Linked DNA regions of Oreochromis niloticus. The protein of the gene in region 1 interacts with the protein of each later gene in a biochemical or structural test. Links are inferred from orthologs where the notes say so. Each region holds a gene or a part of one and is shown on either strand. Other genes may lie near its edges. The genes, in order: transducin-like enhancer protein 4 and pax5.

What was found.
Region 2: the proteins of transducin-like enhancer protein 4 (region 1) and pax5 form a complex in vitro, tested with the Homo sapiens proteins (2 studies listed by BioGRID). The link is inferred for Oreochromis niloticus from reciprocal best matches to the Homo sapiens genes TLE4 and PAX5.

The regions. Positions count from the first base shown.
Region 1 is NC_031977.2:27,218,398-27,226,608, reverse strand, and holds the start of transducin-like enhancer protein 4, read right to left. Parts: upstream 3,455-8,211; 5' UTR 3,050-3,454; exon of another isoform or gene 2,853-3,049; 5' UTR 2,704-2,852; coding exon 2,659-2,703; intron 2,329-2,658; coding exon 2,231-2,328; intron 130-2,230; coding exon 66-129; intron 1-65. UniProt on the Homo sapiens protein: Transcriptional corepressor that binds to a number of transcription factors. Inhibits the transcriptional activation mediated by PAX5, and by CTNNB1 and TCF family members in Wnt signaling.
Region 2 is NC_031971.2:22,417,054-22,425,531, reverse strand, and holds the start of pax5 (paired box protein Pax-5), read right to left. Parts: upstream 3,529-8,478; 5' UTR 3,022-3,528; coding exon 2,976-3,021; intron 1-2,975. UniProt on the Homo sapiens protein: Transcription factor that plays an essential role in commitment of lymphoid progenitors to the B-lymphocyte lineage. Fulfills a dual role by repressing B-lineage inappropriate genes and simultaneously activating B-lineage-specific genes.

The DNA.
Region 1 (8,211 bases):
CACACACACACACACACACACACTAATAAAATACTAATGGCAACACATGAAGTAAGCTGTCTCACCATGACATAGTGCCTCTGCATCTCAGTTTTCTCACTGGCCAGTTTCTCACATTCCAATTTCAGACTGCGAGACAGATAGAAAATGTTTTGTTAGCACATGTCACCATCAAACACACAGCAAGCTACATCCATGCCACACGCAAACACATGATCAAAAGTAAAACTAAAAGACCAAAAATCTTTTCTAACTTCTGACTTCTAACTGACTTATTTTGTAGGGAGTGGATAAAAGACGATGAGCGAGAATGAAACAAGACTTTAGCCAACTGAAAGCGGAGATGATACTTGCACTATACTGAGCCTGCAAGTCACTGCATCCTGCCACTTTAAATTTGCATTTCTAAATATGAGAGCTACAAAAGAAAGACAAATAAGTTGTTTGGATCGCAGCTATTTCCTCTGCAGACACAGGCACTTACTCAGCAGGTGTAGTGCAGTAATTAATGGATCAATGGACAACCACACAAACCTCATCATATATTCTTATAGTGCGAGTAAAAGCCTAAACTGCAACATCAACAAAAAAAGCAACCATAACATTAGGATCCATTTTGCGAAAAAGCTTAACTCTTTTGTGTCTGCCAGTGTATCGCTCCTCATAAAGTTTTTGTGCATCTTTTAAGAAGGAACTCATCAGGTTTATATCATCATCAAAACCTTTGCGTGTACACTTCAAATACAGCGATGTAAAACATGACAAAAACTGAGAAAATTCAATATTTACTTAAATATAAATGCTAAAATCAGCTGAAAATCTGGGGCTTTAAATGTTTAATACCTCAACTTTATTTAAGTTAGATGATGACGGTGCCCTCGTCTTTTTTTGTACTCTAAGGTTGGGGAATATTCTCAAACAGATTCATGGTTTTAGTAAGGTCTATAACATGTTTACTTTTCTTCTAAATAAGAACTACTGTAATAATAAATACTAATAAATTCGTCCTTAAAAGAAATGAAACATGTGGCACCACAGTAATTCTTATTGTAGCGTATTCCCAGAGTGTCTGACTCACTGCTATTTAAAAAAATAAATAAATAAAATCTGATCAGCGCCACCCTCGTTTTGGATTTCACTGGAACGAAAGAGTTTGATCTGTGCGGCTGTAGCATTAAGCATGCAGCGCACCATTCAGCCTGTTCAGCCTCAGGACTGGCCAACAAACTGGACCACTGGTTCATCTCACCAGGTGATTGGTAATAATTATGAGGTGGCCAGAAGTGGGTGATTATTATGCATTGGTATTGTGCCTGTGGTTCAGCCCTGAGCAATGTATTTCACACTTCATCATGTCAGGTAAAAAAGTATTTCACACCACTTGCACTTGCAGAGAGAGAGAGAGTGAGAGACGTGCATGCAAAGGTCGATGGGGGTTTACCTGTGGTTAGTCACTAGTAACAGATGGACCTTAGACAAATACAGGCTACCACCGTTTTAGCTGCATATTGTGCATTTGAGAGGAATAGCAATATAACATCCCTGAATATAGATGTCAAACTCAGCATACTGTATTTCTTAATCGAAACTTAAATAAAAAAATACATTCTGTCTTGTATTTCATGTTATTGCATCACACATTTCCCTAATAATTTGGTCATACTTCATGAGTCATACATGACTAGTACACAGCAGCACAGAACTCGACCATTTCTTTAACATTATCTCGGGTTTTTCGGTTTACAGTGTGAGTCAATCCACAGTCAATCAATCAATTCTTTTTGATTTATTATTTCTCTAATACAGTGTTAGCATTTTCTGTGTGTGGATGGGGGGTGGGGGGGTCACTAGTATAAGCTCCAGATATCCAAGGTGACTTAGGAAAACTGGTTTCAACTGACCAAAAGTGCAAGAACCAAAAGGTAATTAAGAAGAAAAAAATATTATAGGTAACATTTAATAATATAAAACCAAACGTATTAATTAATTAATTAATTGTGCATTTTACATGTAAACATTTTTTAACATTTATTTTTTTTTAATTCCTGCTATTAAAGTGATTAATTAACCCACTAATTACTTCTAATGTGCACCCAGAACAACAGGGATCAAATTCGCAATCGCTTCTATTGTGGGGAATGCAGAACGGTTTCTAAGTTTATTGCCGTTCTGGCTGATGAGCTGATGTTTCCATGCAGCCCAAATGTCATGCTCGTATCCGAAATCCTACCTGTGATACTGCGCCTGCAGGAACTGGAACTCCTCCTTGATCCGGTCGCAGGACTCGGTGACAGTGAACTTGAACGGCTGTCCCGGCTGATGAGGGACCTCAATCCAAAGCAAACAGCGTGCGAAGGAAGAAAGGAAGAACTGAGCCACCAAAGTTCAGCGTCACGACACACACACAGGCAGGACTGTAGCTGACAATAGGCCTCTGTGATAAGGATGGCCTTTTTGGTTTCACTCAGTCTCCTTACACGTTAACTCACGCACACTCAGAGACACACATGCAGCTGTGGCAGTTTGACAATGAGCGCAATTGTCCGTGAGAGCGCGCAGTGGCACGGAAACTTGATCTAAACTGATTACGCATCAGGCGCGACTGTTAATCTGCGCTGTTTTGACACACTGCTCTTACCGCTACTGTTCTGTACTTACCGGATGCCGCGCCGGGGGGTACATCTTGCTCAGATCTCGAATCATTGAAAATGTATTGCAGTGTTCATCCAGAAAAACACGAAAACAAAGTGTGTGAGAACAGAGCTTTCTCCGTGCGTAAAAAGTCAGTCAGTGGCTGGTTTGCGGGCTAAATGCAGGTTCCGCGAAGAGTGGAGACATCCTCGGACCTTTGGCTGACCAAAGACAGCAAGACAGTAATTCAAAAGTCCATTCAGCGTAATAGTAAAGGCAAAAATTGTCCCAGTCTTTTCCAAAATCTTCAGCACCTTATTCTAAGCGCTTAACGTTCTCCTTCTGAACTAACAACAAATCCTCTATTTTCTCAGATTTCTCACAGAAAACATTAAAATCTCGCACACCATGACCCTACTTGTCTGCGAGTACGCTTCTCCACAGCGTCCCGTTGTCACGCGTTCATTGGTTTATTTCCTACAGTCTCCGTTAAAGGTTTGCATCCTCATTCAGCACCGGCCGACCGACCACCTCTCCGACTACAGCAGCCTGCCTCTGCGACGCCAAATTTAGAAGCAACCAGTCGTACGAGCTCAATTACATATTCACTACAATTACAAGGACCCGTAGCACGACGTCGGGACGTGTAGTTTAATTCATATTAGTCGATAATAAGCCCTACAGATGCGCGTCTGCTGTAAAGAACTACAACTTCCCAGCTCCTTCGCGAAACCCCCAAAGCCAATGATGTGTGGTCCGAGGGAGGAGCGGCCATTAAAGCCAGCCAATAGCGAAAGAAAACTATACACGCTCCGTTGCACCCCCCTGCCAATCATCTATAAGCTATCCAATCACATCCAGCAAGACGCGATTTATGCAGACCCCCACGTGGGGGCTGCTCTGGTACAAAAGGATGTCACAGGGATTAATCTGAAAACTATCTGTTGACTTATATGTTCTTTTTTTTCTTTTTTTTTTCCAGACTTCGGGGCAGAAGCGAACATATGGCCCCTTGGTCTCATGTTTTTTTCCCGTTTCCTAATTGAATCACCTATTAAACAGTCTGCTATCATGTCCGCAGATTGCACCTATAACCCTGCAATTAAATTCTCATGCAGCCCCCTCATCTCTCACTTCACATTATGTAAATCATACAGAGGGTGGACAAATAAAAAACTGATTATGTTAGAGCCACAAAGGTGGCATCAATATCAGGCTGGATGTCAATTAGCGCTTCAGCCCGTTCTATTTATTCATGTCTAGTTGGAAAAACATTTACATGAATTTCTAATTTTACATTTTTTCTTTTAAATTAAGGTTTTAACTACATAATAACAATCTGGTTGGTTATGGTGGTGCTGTTTTTTTTAACTTCTTCTGCATTTAAACATTTAACAAATTTTAGAAATCCCTCAGATCTCAACTTGAAAAGTGAGTAGCATCTATGACTGCCAGTTAAAATATACCGCAGGCAAACGAAATCTGGTGAAGTGAAATTATGATGTCAGCACTTTATGTACTTGAGTTGCCTTTGGCTTCTGATTATGGCTGGAAAATGCTGCTAATACACATTTAGGCTCCCACCATTCTTTCGTTTTCTCAGTCTCTTTTATGTGATCTCATGTCTCAGACAAATTCCTAATCCTAAATGCTAATCCTGCTGTTCATATTTCAGCATACACTCTAACATACAGCACACATGTGACATTATCCTTTTCTTATATGTACAAGCAGACTGAATGCATTTTATGTATTCCATACGTGTGCGCTGCTCAGATAAATGCCGCCTAAAAGAGCTTGAATCATTTGCCTAATTTGTCTGCCCTTTAAGTAGTACAACCCAAATGGAACACCTCTTGCTAAGTAAATTGAAATATTATGACTAAGACTCTGTTTCTCACACACATACATACACACACACACACGCAGAGTTGACACCATTCATTTTGAGCGAACAAGTGCATATAGTCTGTCAGCCTGCATTTGTGGCTGTGAGAAGATGTTCAGTGTGGGTAGATGAAACACACTGTTGCTGGGTCAGCAGCTCTCTTCACTGCTGCCTTCGGTCATTTAGCAGAACTAACTGACTGTGTCCAGAAATCTTAATCATTTTGTGCTGCATTACACTTTATATTTCATGTCTCTTTCTCTGAATTTATCATAACCCATTAAAGCTATTTAGGATCACATTTGTTATAATGTGTGTGTCTGCCTCACACGACACAATAAAATACATTTCAGTGTTTCAGTAGTAAATGTTGTAATGTTACTTCTATGATTAATAATAATATTTGTTCAAACATACTAACAGGTGTATGAATTATAATCCACAATGTGACACCACATCAATCCACTTTCCTTGTCAGTCTGCTTCTGTCTTGTCTGTTGTCTCTGCCTCTCCCTCAAACATACATGGGATTGTGCGCACACACACACACACACACACACACACACACACACACATTGCCTCACCCATTCAAATACACATCTCTATCTACCACACATACAAACTAATATCTCAGGTAAGCACAGAGCCTAAAGTGACCTGCTGTCGCGGTGCGTGAATCCACCAAGGCTGTGAAAAGGTAATATCATGCCCTCCCTCTTTTCTCCTCCAAGGGTTGAGCCATGATGTAGACGAGCAGAGGAGGTGCAGAGGTGAGGGAGGGGGGCAGGTGAGGAGGAATAAACAGATTTATTTGCCTGTGCCCCTCTCTGATTATTTTGCCCCTGCCTTTTGTTCCAGACCTTATGAAACCCAAATGTCAAGTGAGGCGAGGGCCTCATATCGAGTCCTGTCAATCACGACCCTCTGCGCACCTGAAGCTCTGACGCCGGATTATTGGCTTCAACACAAGGGCTGCCTATGCCGCCAGGCACGATGCCTCAGACGATTCGACAGCCAAGGCTCTTTTTTTTTTTTCTAAAGAGGAACTTCATTTGGCAGCTGATGCACAGGAGATTGCACAGGAGCGGATTTTGAGCGTAGATGGGTAGCAAGCTGGATGCTGGATGTCTGTGTGTGTATGGAGAGTGGCTTATACAGGGAGGGGGGATTAAGGGGGAGGCTTGACATGGTCTGTGGTGGGGAGTGGGTGGCAAGGAAACCCGAGCTTAACATCTTGCTCAGTGCACTGATCCCAACTAGATATCAGTACCTGTACATATGTCCCTCCCTCCTTCTCACTGTTACACACACGCAGATGCACACACATCACTGCCTACTGCTTCTGCTTATCTTTAATATTATACTCCCTCACTATTACTTTTCAACACCGTGCTCTCACAAATACAGACCACTGGTCGAGGATAGCATACCCTTGTTTAGCTTTCCATGCAGCATATAAAGACTAGATGAGATCTTTGTGTACACTCAGAAAATAAAGTATCTTCCACTACATTTGGGAATATACCAGCTGATCACCATAGCTTTACCCTCTAAAGTACCACCATTGTAAGCTTGTAGTTTGTGCCTTAAGGAGACCAGTCTTTTATGTCAGGGTACAAAAACAGAACGTTTAAAAAAGGTGCATCTTTAATTTTATACTTCCTCGGGGTGATCCATCAATAAGCCTGACACGGTTGTCCATGAAATTATTGTAGACAAATAATAACTAATTAAGGTGGTTGCCTGTGTGAGGAAGCCAGAGAAAACTAAACAGGCACAAATAGAACAAAACTCAATACAAGATACAAGAAAGATACAGAATGGCAAATGTAAGAATTTATTGAATGCTTTTAATTTAACTTAAAGAAACAGGAAAATCTTCCTGTAGGGACAGAAATTGGTTTTCACTTTACTGCTATTTACGTTTAATAATGTGTGCCACATCAACTTTAAATGGTGCAGAAGGTGTCGTTTAGGCGAGACTCCTCAGCAAGCGCATTAAAAACCAATTATCAGTCAGGCTACATCGATTGCTGTAAACTCCACATAACATGGCAGCACCAGCATGGGCTCATTATGATAGCTGCTTCAGTGTGTTTCACTGGACACCAAAGTTCTGTGCAACTGCTAAAACACAAAAGAAAATAGGGGCTTATTTTAGTGCTCATAAACAAAAGCTTAATAGACTATCTCCTAACTATTTATCTGGTTTGTTCATTAGTATGCTCCTTTTAGATTTGCAAGAACTTGTCATTTTGGTCTCTAAATGTTCCCCTGAGAAGTTTTGATTTAACTTCATGTTTTTCTATTATATTTGTATTTCGTTTTTTATTCTTATGTCCTGTTTGTTACTTTTTTTGCAATTTTATTTGTTTTACAAACTGAAAAAGCTGACACAAAGCCTCTGGCTGTGTTCAGTGGTCACCTGAGTGGCACTGAGAGTCAGTGTTATTAGGCGGTGACAACTCAAGAACAACAATAGATCCCTGCACACTCTGCGATGTATCATCCCACAATATACTAAAGAAGTTGTTGACTTTTAGTTAGTACTTTTATTCCTAACTTGTTTGGTTAACATTATGGATATGAAAATAGAAAATGAATCAGGAAGAGCAGAAGATTTGTAAGGAGTAAGTGAAGGCAGTTATGAAGAGACTAAAGAGTTGAAAGGAAGTTGGTTTAGGATGACATACCTGTGGAGATATGGAGATGTCTAGGAGAGAGGAATTTTTGACCAGATTGTTTAGTGCAGTCTTGGAGAGTGGGAGGATGTCTGAGGAAGAAGAGTACTGGTACCAATTTTCAAAATCAAGCTTTATCCCTCGTTAGTAACTACAGATGGAGAAGTACAGAGAAGGTCAGAAGGAGTTACTCTGTCTCTCTGTGGATCTAGAGCGCACATGATAGAGTGCCAAGAGAAGAACTGTGGTACTGCATGAGGATGTCAAGAGGGCAGAAAAGTATGTGAGGTTGGTGCAGTAGATGTATGAGGACAGCGAGACAGTGGTGATGTGTGTGATAGAAGTGACAGATGTATTCAAGGTGGGGGTGGGATTACATCAGGGATCTGCTCTGAGCCCCTTCTTGTTGGCTGTGATGATGGACAAATTGGCTGATGAGGTCAGGCAGGGGTCTGTGGAGTATGATGTTGGCAGGTGACATTGTGATCTGTAGTGAGAGTAGGGAGCAAGTGGAAGATGGGAGCCATGGCAGGTGGAGGAATCTGCTGGAGAGAAGAGGAATGAAAATCAGCAGAGGAAAGACAGCGTGTGAATGTATGTGAGTGAGAGGAAGGCAAGTTTACTCGTGAAGATCCAAAGAGCAGAGATAGTGAAGGTGGATGAATTTAAATAAATACCAGGGGTCAACATTATAACCATCCAAAGCAACAGACAGGGCACAAGAGAGGAGAAGAAGTGAGTCCAGGCAGGCAGTACTGACCAGAGATGGTAATCTGATTACTTTTTCAAGTAACGAGTAATGTAAGGGATTTATATTGCAAAAACGGTAATTAGATTACCGTTACTTTCACGTAGGAACGCTGCGTTACTGCGTTACTAAAACCGTGAATTTTTGCAAGAATGTCTCATGACAGTGACGTAAGCGAGTGCGACGTTTGTGACAACAGCTGTGTGCAGTTCAACAATGGATAATATATGGAGTGCGGAGAGAGTATGAGCGTGCAGCGTTTA
Region 2 (8,478 bases), on another chromosome or scaffold:
CTCTCCCCACAGAAGTAAATTACAGCCGTCGCTCTTGTCTCTCCGATTTGCAAATTAAATACATAAGCAATTAAAAAATCCAAACACAATCAATCATGTATACAAATTGTTGTTGCTTTAGGGTTTGAAATTTGGAGAAAACTTCAATCAGGGTAGGACGACTTTAATCCGGGGATCCAAATCCATTACCATATTTCATTACCTCTCCACTGCTGGAAATGGGAGGATGGGAGGGTGGTGGTGGTGGAGGAGGAAGAGGAGGAGAAGGATGAAGGGTTTGTAGACTTTTTTAAACGTTAGTAAGAATGTGGTGGAGTTGTGATAATCATTTGGAGGCAAATTGAACCCACTGTTGTTGTTTAGGAGTTCCCCCCTTTCACTCCTGCTCTCCCTTTTCCCTCTATCCGCCAAGAAGGCTTCGGCTGTTTTGCTTTTTTACGCCCGAGCCTCAAAACGAAAAAGCAATGAAAAATTAATAGCGCATGTTAACTCCACCAGCTCGTTTATTACACGCCCGCTGACTGTAAACATAATGAGAAAGCTCCCGTATCTCTTCTTAAGTTTTCATTTGCTTATAAAATATAAAAGTCATAACTAATAAATAAAATATATGGACTGAAGAGTGAACCGTCTTGGACTTCCCGGGGTGGAACTCGACCGTGTGCCGAGCAGGTAAATCACTGAGACCGCTTGTCCCACCCACAGGCCCGATCAGATGGTCCTATTTGTGATCATTTGGCTCTTTCATAATGCAAGTAAAGACCAGTCTGTCATCTGTCAGGTGGAATAGAAAGCCCTCATGGCCGTATATCAGCCTAGTTTCTCTACTATGATGGGGCACTTGAGGTCAAAGCAAAAGCAGGCTACGCCATGTGAGGTCATGGTTGTCTCCCTCCCCTCCCCTCCCTCACTCCCTTCTCTCTCTTACATTTTCATGATCAGATCCTGTACTCTGCACAGTTTAGTGAGCGTTTTGGTAACAACTTTTGTACGGTGGCGTGTCAGCTTTGACTTTTAGAAAACACAAATGCTGCAAATGAAGCTTGAATGGTCAGAGTAGTGCAGAGCAGTTCACGGGGTTTCCGGGACGCCTGCATAAAAACAGGCTGGTAGAGAATGACGCAGAAGAATACACGCAGAGAAACGATACCACTGAGTGGGTCATATTACTCTCAATACACCTGTATTTTACTGTGGACAGAAGACAGGCCAAGGGCAGCTAACATCATATACGATTGTTGAAAATGTCTTATAACACAGATAAATGCCACTTTTAAAATGTTTTATAAATAATTCACAGAAATAACAGCCACGCTAAATGGAAAGAATCGAGCCTTGCACTTTCACGCACTACCAGAAGCTTTTACTAGATTCACGTTCTTCCCCATTGATTCTCCTTTGCACTCCAAGCACGTATCTTAAAGTGAGAGGAAACATGGAGAGGCCGTAGGTACAGGCCCCGGGCCCAGAAGACTTTACACATCAGCATGGGAGGGGCCCTCCTTTAAACTCTGATTTCCTCAGTGGCTAAAAGGCTATCATCCAATTGCTACAAATCCCATCGTTTTCACCGTTTATCAGGGGCTAGGCCCACTCCACAAAAGACTGCAGAGGAGCCCTGGCTTGTCTTACAGAGCAGTGGCATCATCTGTAGAGAAATTTTCAAAGAAGGGTGACCCCAAGATAAAAAAAAAATTCTATTACAAGACAAAGTGCCATGCTCTCAAAAGTCCTCCTTGACGCAATATTGTGAAAATGAATGCGTAAAACAGCATTAACTGCAGTCTGAATCTCTATAAAAATGTTATTCAACAGCTGTCTTAAATCTGTGAGCGTACATTTCAATATTCTTACTAACAGGCAAAAGGAGGGGTCACGAAAGCAGATGTTGCTTTTCTGGAGGAAAAAAAAGCTGCGTGGAGCCCGTTCAAAGAGGCTGATCACCTACCCACAGTTTCTTAATGACAAACGACGTTTTTTCAATGCAGACACAGCGGGCAGCAATATGAAATGATGTGATATCCATTGGGTGCCATAACAAGGTCGATGGCCTGATCCATTGCTGTACCAGACCCCGCTGTTTTATGAATAGGCCTATAGGAGATTAACCTGTTGAATAAAATAATGGAGACACGAAGGAAAGAGTCGAGCTCGCATCTTTTAGAGAGTTGCATTTGACTGAAACGACCAGAGACGCCAACTTCTGTTTAACACACTAGAAAAACAAATAACATCTCACATGGCCACCCTCACAAGACGCATTTTACACATACATTTGTGAGACTTGGAGATACACAGCGACCACGATCTTGCGCAAATCCACGTTGCCTTTCAGTTCTAATCACCCACCCGGTACTAAGCTAACCCCATCAGGTGACTGACCAACACGTGGAGATGACCTGAAGCACAATGCCACCCAAACCCAGCAACCTCAGCCACTTTTACTTCTCTGCCAGCAAATGACGATAATAATAATTAATACAAAATAGCAAATAAACACCAAAACATATCTTTTAAAGAAGCAAAATTATAAACCGACAGCACTCAGGAACATTTTCTATCTTTTTTATCTCTTTAAATGAAGCCTAAAGAATTTCTAAAAGACAGATACACGAAGACTAAAAGTTTCTGCACTTGTCCAAAAAGTCACAAACTTGAGAGAAAACATTGCAACTAAAGCACATTTTACACTTCAAAGTTAGCACAAAAGATTACGGAGTGTTTCGTTGCAGAGATCAACTCCAGAAAACTTTTTTATAGTTTTTGTAATAGTTTTAATAACTTGGAACGGCTTTAAAGCAATTTTTTTTTTCAAAGAAACGTTTGTAAAAAGCTAAACTTTAACTTGTATTTAAAAGTTTTGTCGTAAATAAAAATTAAAAAGCAAGAAAAGCACGGGTTCACTAGATAAGTAGATGAGTTCTAGCTCTTGATGAGAGCAAAAATATAGCCAGAGTGAGCCGGTGCGACCCTACCTGCTCTTCCCAGCCGCAGCGCAGGACTCTTGGGCCCCTGGTCCATGTTACTCGGTTAGAACAGGGGGAGGCGATGGAGGGAGAAAAAAGGAAAAGATCAAAAACTTTTTTCCAGCGTCTCCCTCTCCTCCTCCTCTTTCTCTCTCTCTCTCTCTCACCCTCTCCCCCTCTCTCTCCCTTTCTGGGGCAGTTTTCTTCTCTCCCCCCTTTCTCTCTCTCCCCCTTTTTTTGTCCCCTACTTTTGGGGCGACTTGTAGGTTGAAATAATTCGACCCTTCCGCTCCCTATTGCACTCCCTGCAAGTGCTCAGTCAGCTGCAACTAAACGCTTTAGGTGGAAAAAAGGCTTCGGGGGGAAGCGTGAAATGATCACGCCGAGTAAAAGAGCCGCTTTCTCAATGTGCGCTCATGTCCTGTCCTTTTCCTGCACGAGCTTGCACACACAAATTCAATGAGAGTACGCGCTCACGTGCACACATTAACGTGCGCTCCGACGCACGCGCGCGGCCCTGCATACATAACACGCAACTTACAACCGCCACCCTTCCCTTCAGGGCCGCGCCCCCTCCCTCGCATCTGTTACCAAGTTCCACTTTACTAAACTTTCCCGCCCACACCCCACTCTCCCTCTCTCTCTTTCTCCCTTTCATGTTAGATTCATTTCCTCTGATACCTCTGATTCATTCCCGGTTGATTGCTATGCAGGTTGATAGGTAACATTACAGCGCCATGCGTAAAACTAGTGCGCTTTTTTTTTTCTTTCGTTTTACTTAGAAATAAGAAAACGTTGGTTCACAGGTGGATTTATGTTTAGAGTCCTTTCAGTGTCTCCCAAAAGAGTGCTCAAAGAAGTTTCTCCAACTTCTGTGCTCCTCTGCCGGTCTACACCTGTTACGCAGGATGCTCGTTACGCACGGACTCAGAGACTTTGGAGCAGGTGCAATACGTCGAGCTACAACTTCAGCTAACGTCACTGCTCTGCAGTTGGAGAGTGCAGTCTTCCCCTGCGTGCATCTCGTGAAAAGAGTTTGTTACAAAACGGATAGTTCTGGTCCTTAGTCTTGATTGTCAGACACACACCTGTAAGCGCGTTACATTTAATTTAAAAATTGATTTGCCAACTGAAAATTTCCACTCATACTGATACTCACCGCTTTCTTTGGGTTTCTTAGAGTGTCTAGTAAAACACTGACAATATAGATCTCCTGATTCAGTGTTCCTTTGTAGGCTTTTCGTGTTATTACGATCAGGTTTTGCTGTCGCTTTTCGCCAACAAATGCACTCCCCCCCCCGCTCCCCCATAAATTATTATAAATACATTTATTACATTTATTGATACATTTGCAACTTTTAAAATCAGACTGATATTAATCATAAGGCTGTGTAAATTATCACACTTGAAGACCAAAGTATCACTTTGAAGGAGCAATTTTAAAAGACTTTGGCAGCAGCGTGTTCAGTAAAATTTTCACCATGAGGGCATGAGGTAAAGCCGGAATGAGGGGCTGTCTTATGCAGCAAACAAACGCAATTCAATTATGCTTAAAAGAGGACTGATTCCAGGCGAAAACACGTGAAAACAGTAGTACAAACGAAAGTGAATTTACTGTAAAGGACAAACACACAACAGTCGTAACTTAAGATTTCACCGCCAGTTCCTACCGATCGTGACCATAAACAGGAATTAAGATTTAAGAGCGAAATTGAAGCAGTGGGTGTGTCTCTTTACTCGGTGTCTAACTTCTTCTTGCTTTCCTCCAGACAGCTGCGGGTCTCAGGGTTCACGCGCAGCCCCGAGACAATTGAGTGAGGAACAAAGCGCGAGACAGCGACCCATTTTGCTCTGCTTGTCGCCTCGCGCTGCAACACTACGACCCTGACCTTCGGCTCGCGCCCACAACATCAAAACATCAACATTAATGTTTCCCGTGTGGTGGCGAGAAAACAAAGAAGGAGGCTCTACTCTGACCTTCAGGCGGGGAAGCAGCCGCAGATAAATCAATTACAGACTTTTATGAGGAAAATATGAATTTATGCCGTGTTGGAATGGACTGTAGGCCACTTATGCGGGGAAAAGTTGGTCAACGGGATCTTTTGAACCCCCCCTTTGCACATCACACAGAGTGATTTGGTTAGTACTGCAGCCTGGTGTTGTCACTTTCCAGGCTAATGATGATTAGGCCTGCACACACTGACGTGGATTCTGTGTTTTGCCTGCAGGGGAAAGCTCTTGAATCCCCGGCAGAACTGTCTCATCCTTATCACTTCATGGACCCCCAAAAGTTGAATCTGTATGCAAGGCCACGGCTGCGGATTATTCACTACATTTCCTAAACGTGTGAGCTCGTGGAGAGAAAAATGTGCAATTATCTGCTATTGGGCTCTTTGAAGAAACCACACTATTGCATTCTGCTTGGTTTTAATTTGTGTGTTTTTTTCCCTAGTCTTTTCCAGAGACGCACATGAAGATAAAATGCACATTTTGCCACAATTATAATTTCAAACTACAAAACATAAAGCGGACACAATTTGAGGGAATCTGATTTTTAAATCAGATTTGACTGGTAATTAATCTTCACTGTAGTGCAGTGAAATGCAGAAACGTGTAACGATTTTTATTAATCGCTCGAGGCAGTACAATAATAATAATAATATATTATTATTGATGATGATGATGTTAATAACGAGCTATAAACATAAAAGAAAAAATTACTGTATACATAGTGTATATGTAAAATACATATATACATCACGCATTTTAAATATATTTATGTAACAATGTGCACATAATTATTTGGGCTGAGTTATATGTTGCCTGTATGAAATATTTTACATGCAACAGTTTTTTTTTACATTATTTATTTATTTTGTTATTTTTTATTGTTTGTATTTCAAACATTTAGACCAGAAATAGTTTTTCTAAAATCCCTAAAATCCCATTTTTTAATAAATGAATGTATTTCTTTTTTGCAGTCTTTCATGTTTCTCTCCACTTTTTTTATTTGTTTTTTTGTTCTTTGCTTTTTGGTTGTTGTTGTTTTTTGGCCTGCAGGACGTCTTCGAAGAACTCTCCACAGTTTAGATATTAATCATCACTTGTTTGTTTTTCACCCCCGTACTAATTAATGTAATTAATATGAGGGGGGAGTAGCTGGATCGGTGACCCGAGCTCTGACCGAGCGGAACCGGAAAGAATCGCATTAAAGCGCGAGATAGAAGAACTAAAGGGACGATTAGAACAATAAGTAAACACGTAAACACAGGAGGAAATGCTCCTCGTCTCTGTGGGACTTTTGGCTTTCACCAGACCGGTTAAATTTAGTGTAAACTACACGGAAAAGACAAAGGCCTGCAGTTCTGTGGGGTTTCATTATGTCTGTGCAAAATTACACATGCATCTGTGTTATCTGTGGAAGTTCACAAGTTGTGTGTTAAAGGTCCTTCAAAATTTCACTTAGATGCAGGCTATGCAAATTAGATATCGACATGATTTACTTTTAACTATTAAAAGTGAAGGCAGGACATTTGGACAATGACAATTTAATTTGATTATGCTGTATTTAAATGGAGATCCAACTATACACAGCTTTTAATGCTATGCCTGGAGCGAATGTGAACCACTGTAATGCTGGGTTTAATTTATATTTAATAATAATAAACTTGTATATCAGGTAAAGGTGAAGCAATACACTTTACTGCATTTCCCATCAACTGTAGCAGAGAGGAAGGCATCAGAAATAGAAAGTAGAAGTACCTTAAAATGTACTCAAGTGTTCATTAAAATATTTTGTCTAACTTTAGAGTGAACTACATTTACATTTCAAAAGAAAATTCAACAAGACACACCTAACTTTACCTGATAATGATGTTTTGTTTGCTACCTAAATGTTATTCTTCAGTCCAAAGCCTCACATTCAAATCAGCACTGTATTTTTTCATATTTAAAAATGAAAGGGACAGAACTATTTAAAAGCCTACTTATATCTTATATACTTCTTCATTTTACAAAAAAGAAAAAAATTAAAAATTGTGGTTTTCCTGCTTTTTATATTTGTTAATCCTTCCTTAAATTCTGGAGTATTCAGTAACTTTTGTTTTTCAGCAATGTTATATGAATAAGTCTCACTCAGGGTTTCTAACTTAAAGTGTATCAGGTATGGCTTAAAAAAATACTCCCTCTGATCCACTTATATGTTACATTTCTTTACAGTAAATCAGAGAAACCTAATACCGACAGTCTTGAAAAAAAAAAACAACTTACCTCTGGTGCTCATTGTTTTCCTAGAAATACTCAGAGCCACAGTGCTGATTGAGCTTACCTCTGTATCCCTGGGATTTAATTCAGAGTGGCACTTCACTGTGGCGACACAAGGTTCCCTTTCTGCGGCCATGGTGCCTGGGTGTTGTTGTGGCTATAGAGGCTAGAAAGGGGGCTTAAGGGCTGCAGGGCGGATTGAGAAATGGGACACATTATTTGTCCATGAAACATTATGTGACACAACATGACACCAGGCCATTTGTATGTAAAGGTAAACATTTCAGCGTGACAATTCGACAAGAGCGGACAAGGCTCCTGTCAATGTGGTTTTATACTTGCAGCTGAGAAAGAGGTGTTGTGGCATCGTGTGGTGATGAAGTGTGTATGTGGGACTTTGTGTGTGTGTGTAGAGCTTGTGTTCACAAATTTAATCCCCATAGACACAAGTCACTTGGTCTGGCCTGAGAAGGTGTTGTCAGGCTTGCTCTCTCGTTTTTTTTTTCCTATTGAAAGCATGGACAGACTGTTGATCACAGAGCTTCACAAAAACAGTTTCCTCTGGGTGTGCACACAAGCGTGTGTGTGTTTCACCTGTACTTGACATGCATTCAATATGATAAAAGATCATCGTCAGAGAATCGTAATAATGCAGGTTAGATTTTAAGCAGCAACCTAAAACACATAAACCCTAAAGCATCCCGGTGGCATTGCTCTGGATCTTGATGGCTTGTTGTCTCTTAAATTAAGAGATAGTTTAGTTGTGAGCCCTGATCAGATGCATTGTACTTTCTGGTGTCAACAGAGTGTCCAGTCACTGTGTTCAGTATTGTAAAACAACTCATTTTAAATGAATTTAGCATCATATCATGAAGTACTTTAAGTGTCAGGTTTGTCATTTCATCCATATGGCCCAGGCATAATATGAGGTCATTTGTGGCTGATCTGTGTTACAAATTCCATGTCTGAAGAGAGGTTTGGAGATCAAGCTTGCTAAACTTTGAGTAGAACTGAGAAAACAAAGAAATATTCTCTTACATGGTACAAAATTACAAGCAATACCCCAGTGACGAGTTATCATTCCCCTCTGGTTGTGCTTTATCATTTGTTCCTTCCTGCCTGTGAGCTTTGCCACTGATTAGTACATGCTCTACTTGGCATATTAACTCCAGAATCTACTGAATCTCTCTAATACACCACCAGTTTCTTATCCCGCAAAGCTATTTGATGCTGCAGTGTCTCTTAGAAT